Linked DNA regions of Arabidopsis thaliana. The protein of the gene in region 1 interacts with the protein of each later gene in a pairwise test. Each region holds a gene or a part of one and is shown on either strand. Other genes may lie near its edges.

Region 1 (4,871 bases):
CCTGAAGCATGAAAATCACAAGTGTTTGTCTTCTTGACATTGTTGTTCTCCGGCAAGAAAACATCCACGGATGTTTTCAGTGAAACCGCTTGAGATTGTTGTACCGTGAAGAGCAAGTCTTCTCTCTCTTTGCTCTCTCCTCCATGCACTTCCCACTTGTTCTTCAACGCAAGTCCCTAAACAATCATACACCATTTCAAGAAAGAGTCATTTTTATATGTATGTTTGTTGAAAAATTAAAATGTTTTGTAACCTTTTGACGCATTGAGAGGATTGTGAAACCGGCTGGATCACGCATAACTCTTTTACGGTTAAACCCCCAAGCTTGTCCATCAATTTGTAGGAGCAGATTCCCACTTGGATCAAACACTTCATAATAATCTTTAGAAAAATTCTGAACTTTTCTCTTCACCAAAAGATCCATTGGGTATGGATTACAGAATTGATCGCTCACTACGCTTATCGCGGGATCTCCTACTTGCCATTCTGTTTTTTTATTCTTCGGCATTTTCGAATAAAGTTCAAGAAGAAGACGAAGAAGAAGATTGCAAAAGACTATGAAAGGCTCTTTATTTAGAGCCCTTGATAATCCTCCTGATGATGAAGAATTATCAAAAACACCTCTTCACATTTTCTTAAAACAATATATCAACTAAAAACAAATTTGAAATTGTAAGATTGGTTTTTACTTTTTCAGACTTTTATTCTCAACCAAAGATTGTTAAACCCCAAAAATAAACTATGTACCCTTATATTTAGAAACGAAACAACTAAGCTAACTTCTGTCTCAAGGTTCAAAGAGAAATTCTCTATTGCCAAAAAAATACTTGTCAATACATAAAACATATACATACTTCTCTTACAATTACAACAACAGATCACAAGTTCTTTAATTCACAATAATCATATAATCGAATAGTATTGTATTGTTGTTTTTATTGGTTTTGTTATCATTAATTGCCTCCACGTTTGTTCTTTCTCCACTCCCATGGCTTCTCTGGATTAGAAGATGCCCACAAGCCAACGCGCTTTTGCCTAGCCTCATTTTCCCACTGAATTCAAAACACCAAAACAAACCGTTAAACATCAGAAGGAATAATCAAAGAAAATTGTAAATGAAAAGCACAAAGGTTTATAAAAGCTTGCCTTTGCGAGCTCTGCACGCTTGTCATAGGCTACATAATGCCAAGCAAGACCTTTCTTTAGCATTACTTCCTGTACAAATTTTCCATTGCAGTATATATCTCCTACACATCTTCCATAACGATCCTCTGTATATACTAACACCTTCAAGCATTTCCCTTCAACCATCTTGAGTAGCTCATCATGCGCCTCTTTTCCATACGGCATTTTGCTCTCCGGTGAATCTATTCCGCTGATTCATTTTCATTCCAAATTTTTAACTCTACATATAGCTTTTGATTGAATATGAGGTTCTCTCTAGAGTGGAAGAGTGTTTTACCTTAGTCTAATTCTGAACTTTTTAGCAAGCACTTCCTCATTCTGAAAACTTATCATCCTAAGTATAACATGAAAAAAAGGTTAGGAAAAATTATGAATTTCGTAGATCAATTTTGATTTGACTTTATAATCAACTTGTGAAGTATATCAATAAAACACAAACCTGTAACCAGAAGCTATGATCGTCTTGTGAAGTGCATCTGCTTCAGTATAATTCTTCTTCTCACGCGCTTTGGCTCTTTTAACCGCTGCAAGACTCACGTCCTTAGGAAGAGAAGATGACACAAGCGGGTCTTTGCTACTAACATACACAGTAACAGTATCACCATCTGCCACAGATTTTGTATCCACCTTATTTCATTTAGAAAATTTCTTGATCAGCAGCAACAACATTACCATCATATCCCAAACCTTTTAAAGATTCGTAAGTTTTCTAACCGGAAGCGTGTTAAGCTCAAACCGAACTCCTTTAGGTAAAGACACAGGAGCTTCCGTAGGGACCTCAACGAGATTGTGAGGTGAAGGTAGTCCATAGAAAGACAAAAGTCCCTGTCAATGCCATTAACAAGTCAACTATATCAATAATGCATCCTCCAAAACTCCTTGACATTTTTGCAACTTGAAAGAACCATCATGATTAGTTAATACCTCAACATCTGCTTTTTGATGGTTCTTTAGAGCCGCGATAACAAGCCTGGAGGCTTCCTCAGGAGTTTTAGGCCGAGGCTTAGCTTGCTTCCATGCCTCAAGTATTTTTCTATACCTTCAAATTAAAACATGTTTTGGAAGAAAAAGACATTAAAATATGAACATTTTCAAATCTTTATAGACAACATTAGCATGATCTGTACCAGTTTGCTTGAGCCTTTTGGGAAGACACAACGTAACTCCCAAGCTTCTCAGGAACCTAGAATAAAATGAATCTTTAGATCCTGATCAATCTCTTAAGCAAAATTTTAAATGAATCTATTGATTTACACAATTCACAGTGAGTTTCAAACCAGAGCTAAAGAACAAATCCAAGACTAAAATATTAGCTGTAGAAAAAAGAAAATTTAGGAGAATAACAATGGAGAGAGACCTGAGAAGTGGTCTCGAAGTTTAAGAGATCACGAGAAAGAGCTGAGACGCCGCCGGAAGAGGCGGAGACGCCGTGAGAATTCAAGCATTTCCGGAGTAACCTAATCGCGTTACCCATTTCTTAGATTTGATTTTCAACAAAAAAAGGAAAGAAAGAGTTTTGATCTTTCTTCCTTGATCTCGTGTGAAAGTCTTTGATTCAGTTATATGGAGCAGAGAGATTGTTTATCGAACAAGCGAAGTCATACGTGGCGGTTTGTTATTGGGTAAGAAGCTAATGTGATCAAAATAATTGTTTTATATTGTTTTTTCTTGCAATCTAAAAAGTATTAGGTGCCTTGTCGTAATCAGGATTTGACGACTTTTTGTTAAACTCCTCACAAGTCACAAGCTTGGGGTTTAAGCAATCTTAATGGTGCATTGAGTTTTTCTACAGCTCAAAATATCTCTTCTATGGTCTGCTTAGCACTTTTTTTTTTTTTTTTTCTTTCTTGAGCAGGGCCCGTAATTTGGTATTTTTGGCTTATAAATGCTAGTTCTGATTGCATTTTTATTTCTTTTAAGTAGTTTAGGAGAACTAGATTCCTTAAAAATATTTATGGACATACGAATTATATACAGTTGATTCAACGGATCTATAAATTGTGGAATGAACATAATTTGAAAATAATTTTTTTTGCTTACAATTTAATTTGAGCAAATGGGCTATATAACACAAATGTACTTCATTACTACATACATTGGACATATTCTGCTCATCAATGCCATGTGAGAGGGGATATGAATGTTGGTGATACAATTAAAATAATAATAATGCACTTGAAATAAGTGAGATTAATTTACTTGGGTTCGCTCTCCTTTAGCCTTTATGTTTAATTTTATGCCCTCTGATTTGGCCCAATGTATCTACTCCAATATTGGGTTTAGACCCAATTGTTTGTTTGAGGCTGAAAGACAAACTCATTGTGATTGGTTCAAATTGAAAATGAATATTCCTATATTTTTTGAGTTAAAAGAATAAATAAATAACAGGAGCCAGTGGTAGTGGGAAGCTAGACAGGAAGTGGTTCCGATAAGCCGGAGTTTGTTTAAACTGAGAGAGATACTTGAGAACTGAGTAATGCAGAACTAAGCAGCCAAACTTTGATCATTCTTCTGCTCACTTTTGGATTCTAATTCTCTCTACTCCCATGGCGATAGCTAGTACCCTGGCTTCAACCCAAAACCCCTTTCTATGTCTCCGTCAACCACCGTCTCCGGGGAACCGCTCCGTCGTCTTCCGTCGCTGTCAAGACCCCTGTGGTAGACGATGGATTTCCAGATCCATTAGAGCATGCCAACCTTCCGACAAGGTCTCTGGTCAATTTCCATTCGATTTTATGTATTCTTCTATGCTTATTCCAAGTTCGTGTGGAGAATGGAATCGGATTCATGTAAATGATCAAACTTTATTGTGAATGTGGAGATTTTTTTTTGTGTTCACAGCTTGGTGGTGACGGAGGCATTTCAGCTTCAGCTCAAAGATTATATTTTGGCAAGGAATTGCTGAGTTTTGCTTCAGATAATTTCTTGCCTCTAGGTAACATTACACATTGCTCTTGCCCTTTTTTTCCTTTCCAATTTTCCACGTAATCCTCATTTTCCCTAACGATTCTTGAGATGAAAGTTTAGGCTAGATCTTTTAAAGTCTGATGACAAGGTTGACTGCATCAAAATTCAATTTTCCATGAAGATTACTTATCACTTTAATGTGATGCTTCTAGTGACCTCTTATGCCTCACTTTGTTACTTTTGACATTTCAATTTCATGTTGTGCTTTGTTGGTTAGCTCTTGTTAGTGGAGTGGGGTTGGGCTTTGCAAATCCGACTCTAGGCTGTCTTGCAGACAAGTACTCTTTCACTAAGATCAGCACATGCGGGATATTTATTATATCAGGTGATTCTATCAGCTGTGGCATAAGTGTACAATTGCTTTGTTCTTCTTCTTTTTCTATGTTAAAGGGTGATGGAAGCAATCACTTTGTTTCTGTCGAATAGCTTATCAAATGTGTACTCTTTTCATGTATTGTGGAGCAGGGTTGACTTTACGTACCGAAGCGATTGGTGCTGCTGTCAAAGGGTGGCCTCTTGGACTCTTTGGGCTAGTATGATCTTGACTCATCTTTAGCTTTCATATGTTCTGTGAATGTTTCCTCTTCTGTAGATCTCTTCTGCTAAGTTCTGAAAATAAGAAAATCTAATGAATAGAAACCTTTTGGTAATGCTTTTCCTTTTTTTAACTCCTGTTAGTTATACTACATACTTAAACGCAAACTATTTCTCTTTTTCTT
Region 2 (4,101 bases), about 17 Mb from region 1:
CAAGAGATAGGGAGTGCTAAGACCAGTGGCAGGGGTGGTAGAGGAAGAGGGCGAGGAAGAGGTCGTGGTGGACGAGCTGCAAAAGCAGCCGAAAGAGAGGGTCTCAACCGCGAGATGGAAGTAGAAGCCGCCAATTCTGGACAGCCACCACCAGAAGACAATGTCAAGATGCATGCGTCAGAGTCATCACCACAAGAGGATGAGAAGAAAGGCATCGACGGCACAGCAGCATCGAACGAAGACACCAAGCAACACCTTCAAAGTCCCAAAGAAGGCATTGACTTTGATCTCAACGCTGAATCCCTCGACCTAAACGAGACCAAACTGGCACCAGCCACAGGCACAACCACAACCACAACTGCAGCAACAGACTCTGAGGAGTATTCGGGCTGGCCTATGATGGACATAAGCAAAATGGATCCAGCACAGCTTGCTAGTCTGGGTAAGAGGATAGACGAGGATGAGGAAGATTATGACGAAGAAGGCTAAGTCATAACAGCACTATAGGATATATAGAGTAGCAGCGTTTAGCAGTTTGTCTAGAAAATGCTTCTTCTGTCATCAAAATCTTCTCCTGTTTCCATTTATTGTATGAACCAAAGATTGCATGCACTCTATGAAACTTAATTTATTCTCCTGATTTGTTATTTAAGGTTTTAGAGTTTTACATCAGAAGTTAAAATATCTTACAGAGTAAGTAAACACTCAAAAGTACATAAACAAAGGAGAGGGACTAGTCATGGTGTTGCTCCGCGTGGTTGAGATGAAGAGCACCTTCATGGTTCTTGTGAACTTCCACCTTGAACTTTTCCTCTTTTTCTCCCCTCTTCAACTTCAGTAGCATGTTGTATTTTGCAGCCTCGCCGGTTACCTGTGTCCATGTTTTTAATATTAAGCTCATTAATCTTGTAATCACCAACTATTACAACTCAGACGTTAGTCCTCATACCAAGGAGAACCAATATGTTGCTTAAAGTCTTTTCTACTTCTAAAACTTCAACACCATTCGGTTTCACTGACACTTGATTTCGTTTATTTGCAATTTCTCAGATGAAATTCATGCAAAAACATTGTCAAAATCTGACAAGTTCTCTATTGAAATTCATTTTGTGCAATTAAGATCGAAGATAGAGTATATAGTAAATTAAAGCCATACCTCAGCTTTAGCATGCACAACCTCCAGAAGTTCATAAGGGAACAAGGAGTTAGACCTCTGCTGAATGGTCTTGACAGCCTGCTCAGCAACATGCTTCACTTCTGGATCATCTCCGGGAACTTCCCTCCATCCAGATTCATGTTCACCTGATCCACAAAACCCAATTTTCATAACCAAACTCTTTCCTAACCCACAATCTCTGACTTGCTACATATATATCCCCTGACATTATAATGTTCTTATCAGTAACTACTCAAATTCACACCTTGCTTGCAGCCAAGATCGGAGGAAGTGATAGCAGGGGCATCACTGGCAGGCTTGAACTCCTGTAACTCTTTAAAGTTCAACCACGGCTTGACCCACACTTTGGCTTCGTAAAGCTTCTTCTGTCCTGCCTCGAGAATCTCCAGAGTCAGGTGATGCAGTGTTCCGGCTACAACTTGTTCTTTCGCCTTCACAACTCTCGCAAACTCAAGAAGTGCATTCTACGACGACCAAAGACAGAACAAACCAAAAAATCAATCAATCAATCAATCCCACAACATGAACGCATTTCATCACCGAATAATATACACTCTCTAAGATCTGCTGGTAACTGAAATTGAGATCAATAGAGAAACTCCGGACAAAATTAGTCTAATCGTGTTCTGGATCAAGACTATAATAGCATAAAACACACATATCGAGACGAGAGATGTGAAAAAATCGAAGATGATGAGAGATTTGGAACCTCTTTCTTGTTGTGTTCATCGACAGCGAAACGAGCGAGGCTCTCAACCTCACCACTGTTCTGATTAGCAGGGACATCGCCAACACCTCCGACTAAAGCCATCTCTTCGTTGCAGAAGCCTAAATCACTGGCGATCAGAGAGGAAATGAAGAGGGATAGAGAGAAGAAAACAATGAAGAGTAAGAAACGGCTTCTCATCATTCTCACCTTTATTTGGTTCGGTGCCCTGTATTTTTAGATATTTTTCGTTTTACTCGTCGAATTGTTGATTTTATCCTCTACAGTTAATTCGCCGTGTACCGGATTAAGGTGTCCATTTGGTTTGATGTTGGTTTTGTTGGTACAGTTTTAAGTTTAGGCTCTGATTTATGAAAATATTCTTACGATTTAAAACAAAAAAGGTTTACATTTGATTGGATGCCAATTGAATCGAATCATTTGTAAGAAAAGAGTACCGATTCGAGTTATAGATTGGTTTGATTTGGCCTCAATCGGTTAAGCTACCAACATTTTAAATAGAAATTCATACCAATCTGGATTACACATGAAAACGTTGCTGAGGATAGCGGCACGTTATACGAAACGTGTCGGCAGAGTCACACAGAAATTGTCAAACACCTTTACTTGTAATCGAAGTTTAAAACATCTATGCACCTTTCTTCGTCTTTCTCTCATCTGCTAGAGAGCCCAATTAAAAAAGGCCCATGGGAAATAAAATCGCAACATAAACAGTGAAACATCATTGGAAAGAGTTTTATTAGTCTGATATTATTGTTTTGATAATACAAAGCTGCGTATTATATTATAATAATAATACTCTCGTTACTAAATAGCAGCTTCGAGGAGGCCGTTAACGAAGGATCTTTGGTTGTAACAATCAAGATTACCACCAGGATTAACACCAAATATGTTACAATACCTCTGATAAAACCCTATACGATCGGCGACTCTCCCGTCTTGGCCACGTCCACACTCCAATCCACCGTTAATGATGTTCGTAATCACTCCATAACCCGGTAATCTCCCGGCGGCACGGTCGGCGTCTGAAGGCTGCCACTGGCCGGCTATCACGGCATGGCAAGACGGTTTGGGAGGCTGAGCAGTCATCCAGAACCAAATCGCGGCTTTGAAAGCGATCACTGCGTCGTTGGCAACAAGGTCAGGGTTGTTGAGTAAGTCAACTCCTATTGCTCTACCGCATAGACCGTAATTGTAGTTCCACGACAGTTGCATTGGTCCTCTTCCGTAGTAGCGTTTGCCAGATGCGCATGGCCACGTGGCGCTCGGTTCACAGTAGTCTGAAGCAGGATTCTGTTCTTGCTTGAAACAGTAGCCCCATGAATATGGTCCGTCTGGTGCTGTAGCCCATCCACCTGCACGACGTAACCGTCCACTTAATTAATTAGTATATAGCTATATATATAGTCACAACTCACAAACTTGACATTATTCAAAAGTGTATAATTTGGAAACTGGAATATTCGTAAGTTCCTTGATTGGTTATTTGCGTTTAGATTAATCAAGAATTTCATATTTTTAAAATAGTTTTTTAATTGTAAACGCAAACATCTAAGACCAAAACATTTTTCTTTGCGTTTGGCGTTTTTGTTTGATTTTTTTCTTTCGTTTCTAAATATGAGAAGCTATAATTTTTTCAATAAAACATATATATATATATATATATATATATATAGTATAGTAGTTCTTTGTATATATGAGCACTTGGATCCAAAACTCTTTACAGAAGAAAAAAAGAACTTCAAATTCTGATGTTTTAATAATAAACACCAAAATTTAGCAATTGTGTTTTGAAACAATCTCCGTCAAATTGTTAATGAGTTTTGGGTACCTGTAGTTTCATGGGAAGTCTGGCCGAAGAAGGCGGCGACCTCCTTCTTCCTCGTGGCGGTGTCTCCGGTGGTGCCAAAACCGGGGAAGGACTTTGCAGCGGTGATAAAGGCGTTGTAAGTGTAGAAACCTCTAGCAGGACAAGCGGCATCATTCCTATGCTTAAGCATATCATCGAACTGAGAACTTGAAATGATGCCCGAAAGATCGCCGGTGGGTCCAGGAGGAGTACCACCGGGAGTGCACTGGCTTTGGCAGCCAGGCTGCTTACAGTATGGTTCGGTGTTACCGCACCAGCCGAACTCGCTGCAGCATAGACCGTTGGGGCAGAGTGCTCCTCCAGCTTGGCGACCACATTGCTCGGCCG

What was found.
Region 2: the proteins of CAN (region 1) and CYSB interact in binary tests that used the Arabidopsis thaliana proteins (3 or more experiments, as listed by UniProt).

Annotation. Positions count from the first base shown.
Region 1 is NC_003074.8:20,840,402-20,845,272, reverse strand, and holds CAN (Ca-2+ dependent nuclease), read right to left. Parts: upstream 3,129-4,871; 5' UTR 3,011-3,128; intron 2,853-3,010; 5' UTR 2,660-2,852; coding exon 2,543-2,659; intron 2,369-2,542; coding exon 2,313-2,368; intron 2,225-2,312; coding exon 2,110-2,224; intron 2,011-2,109; coding exon 1,900-2,010; intron 1,813-1,899; coding exon 1,625-1,812; intron 1,520-1,624; coding exon 1,463-1,519; intron 1,376-1,462; coding exon 1,147-1,375; intron 1,053-1,146; coding exon 954-1,052; 3' UTR 736-953; downstream 1-735. Other genes in the region: AT3G56180 (LURP-one-like protein (DUF567)), read right to left, coding at 1-176, 254-508; AT3G56160 (Sodium Bile acid symporter family), read left to right, coding at 3,732-3,974, 4,027-4,120, 4,370-4,477, 4,618-4,685. UniProt on the Arabidopsis thaliana protein: Enzyme that catalyzes the hydrolysis of both DNA and RNA at the 5' position of the phosphodiester bond. Possesses activity toward the single-stranded DNA, double-stranded DNA and RNA. May be involved in genomic DNA degradation during programmed cell death.
Region 2 is NC_003074.8:3,959,790-3,963,890, forward strand, and holds CYSB (cystatin B), read right to left. Parts: upstream 2,132-4,101; 5' UTR 2,088-2,131; coding exon 1,887-2,087; intron 1,642-1,886; coding exon 1,422-1,641; intron 1,303-1,421; coding exon 1,157-1,302; intron 1,137-1,156; exon of another isoform or gene 1,022-1,136; coding exon of another isoform or gene 1,013-1,021; exon of another isoform or gene 872-1,012; coding exon 734-871; 3' UTR 612-733; downstream 1-611. Other genes in the region: NF-YC11 (nuclear factor Y, subunit C11), read left to right, coding at 1-489; HCHIB (basic chitinase), read right to left, coding at 2,712-3,259, 3,736-4,101.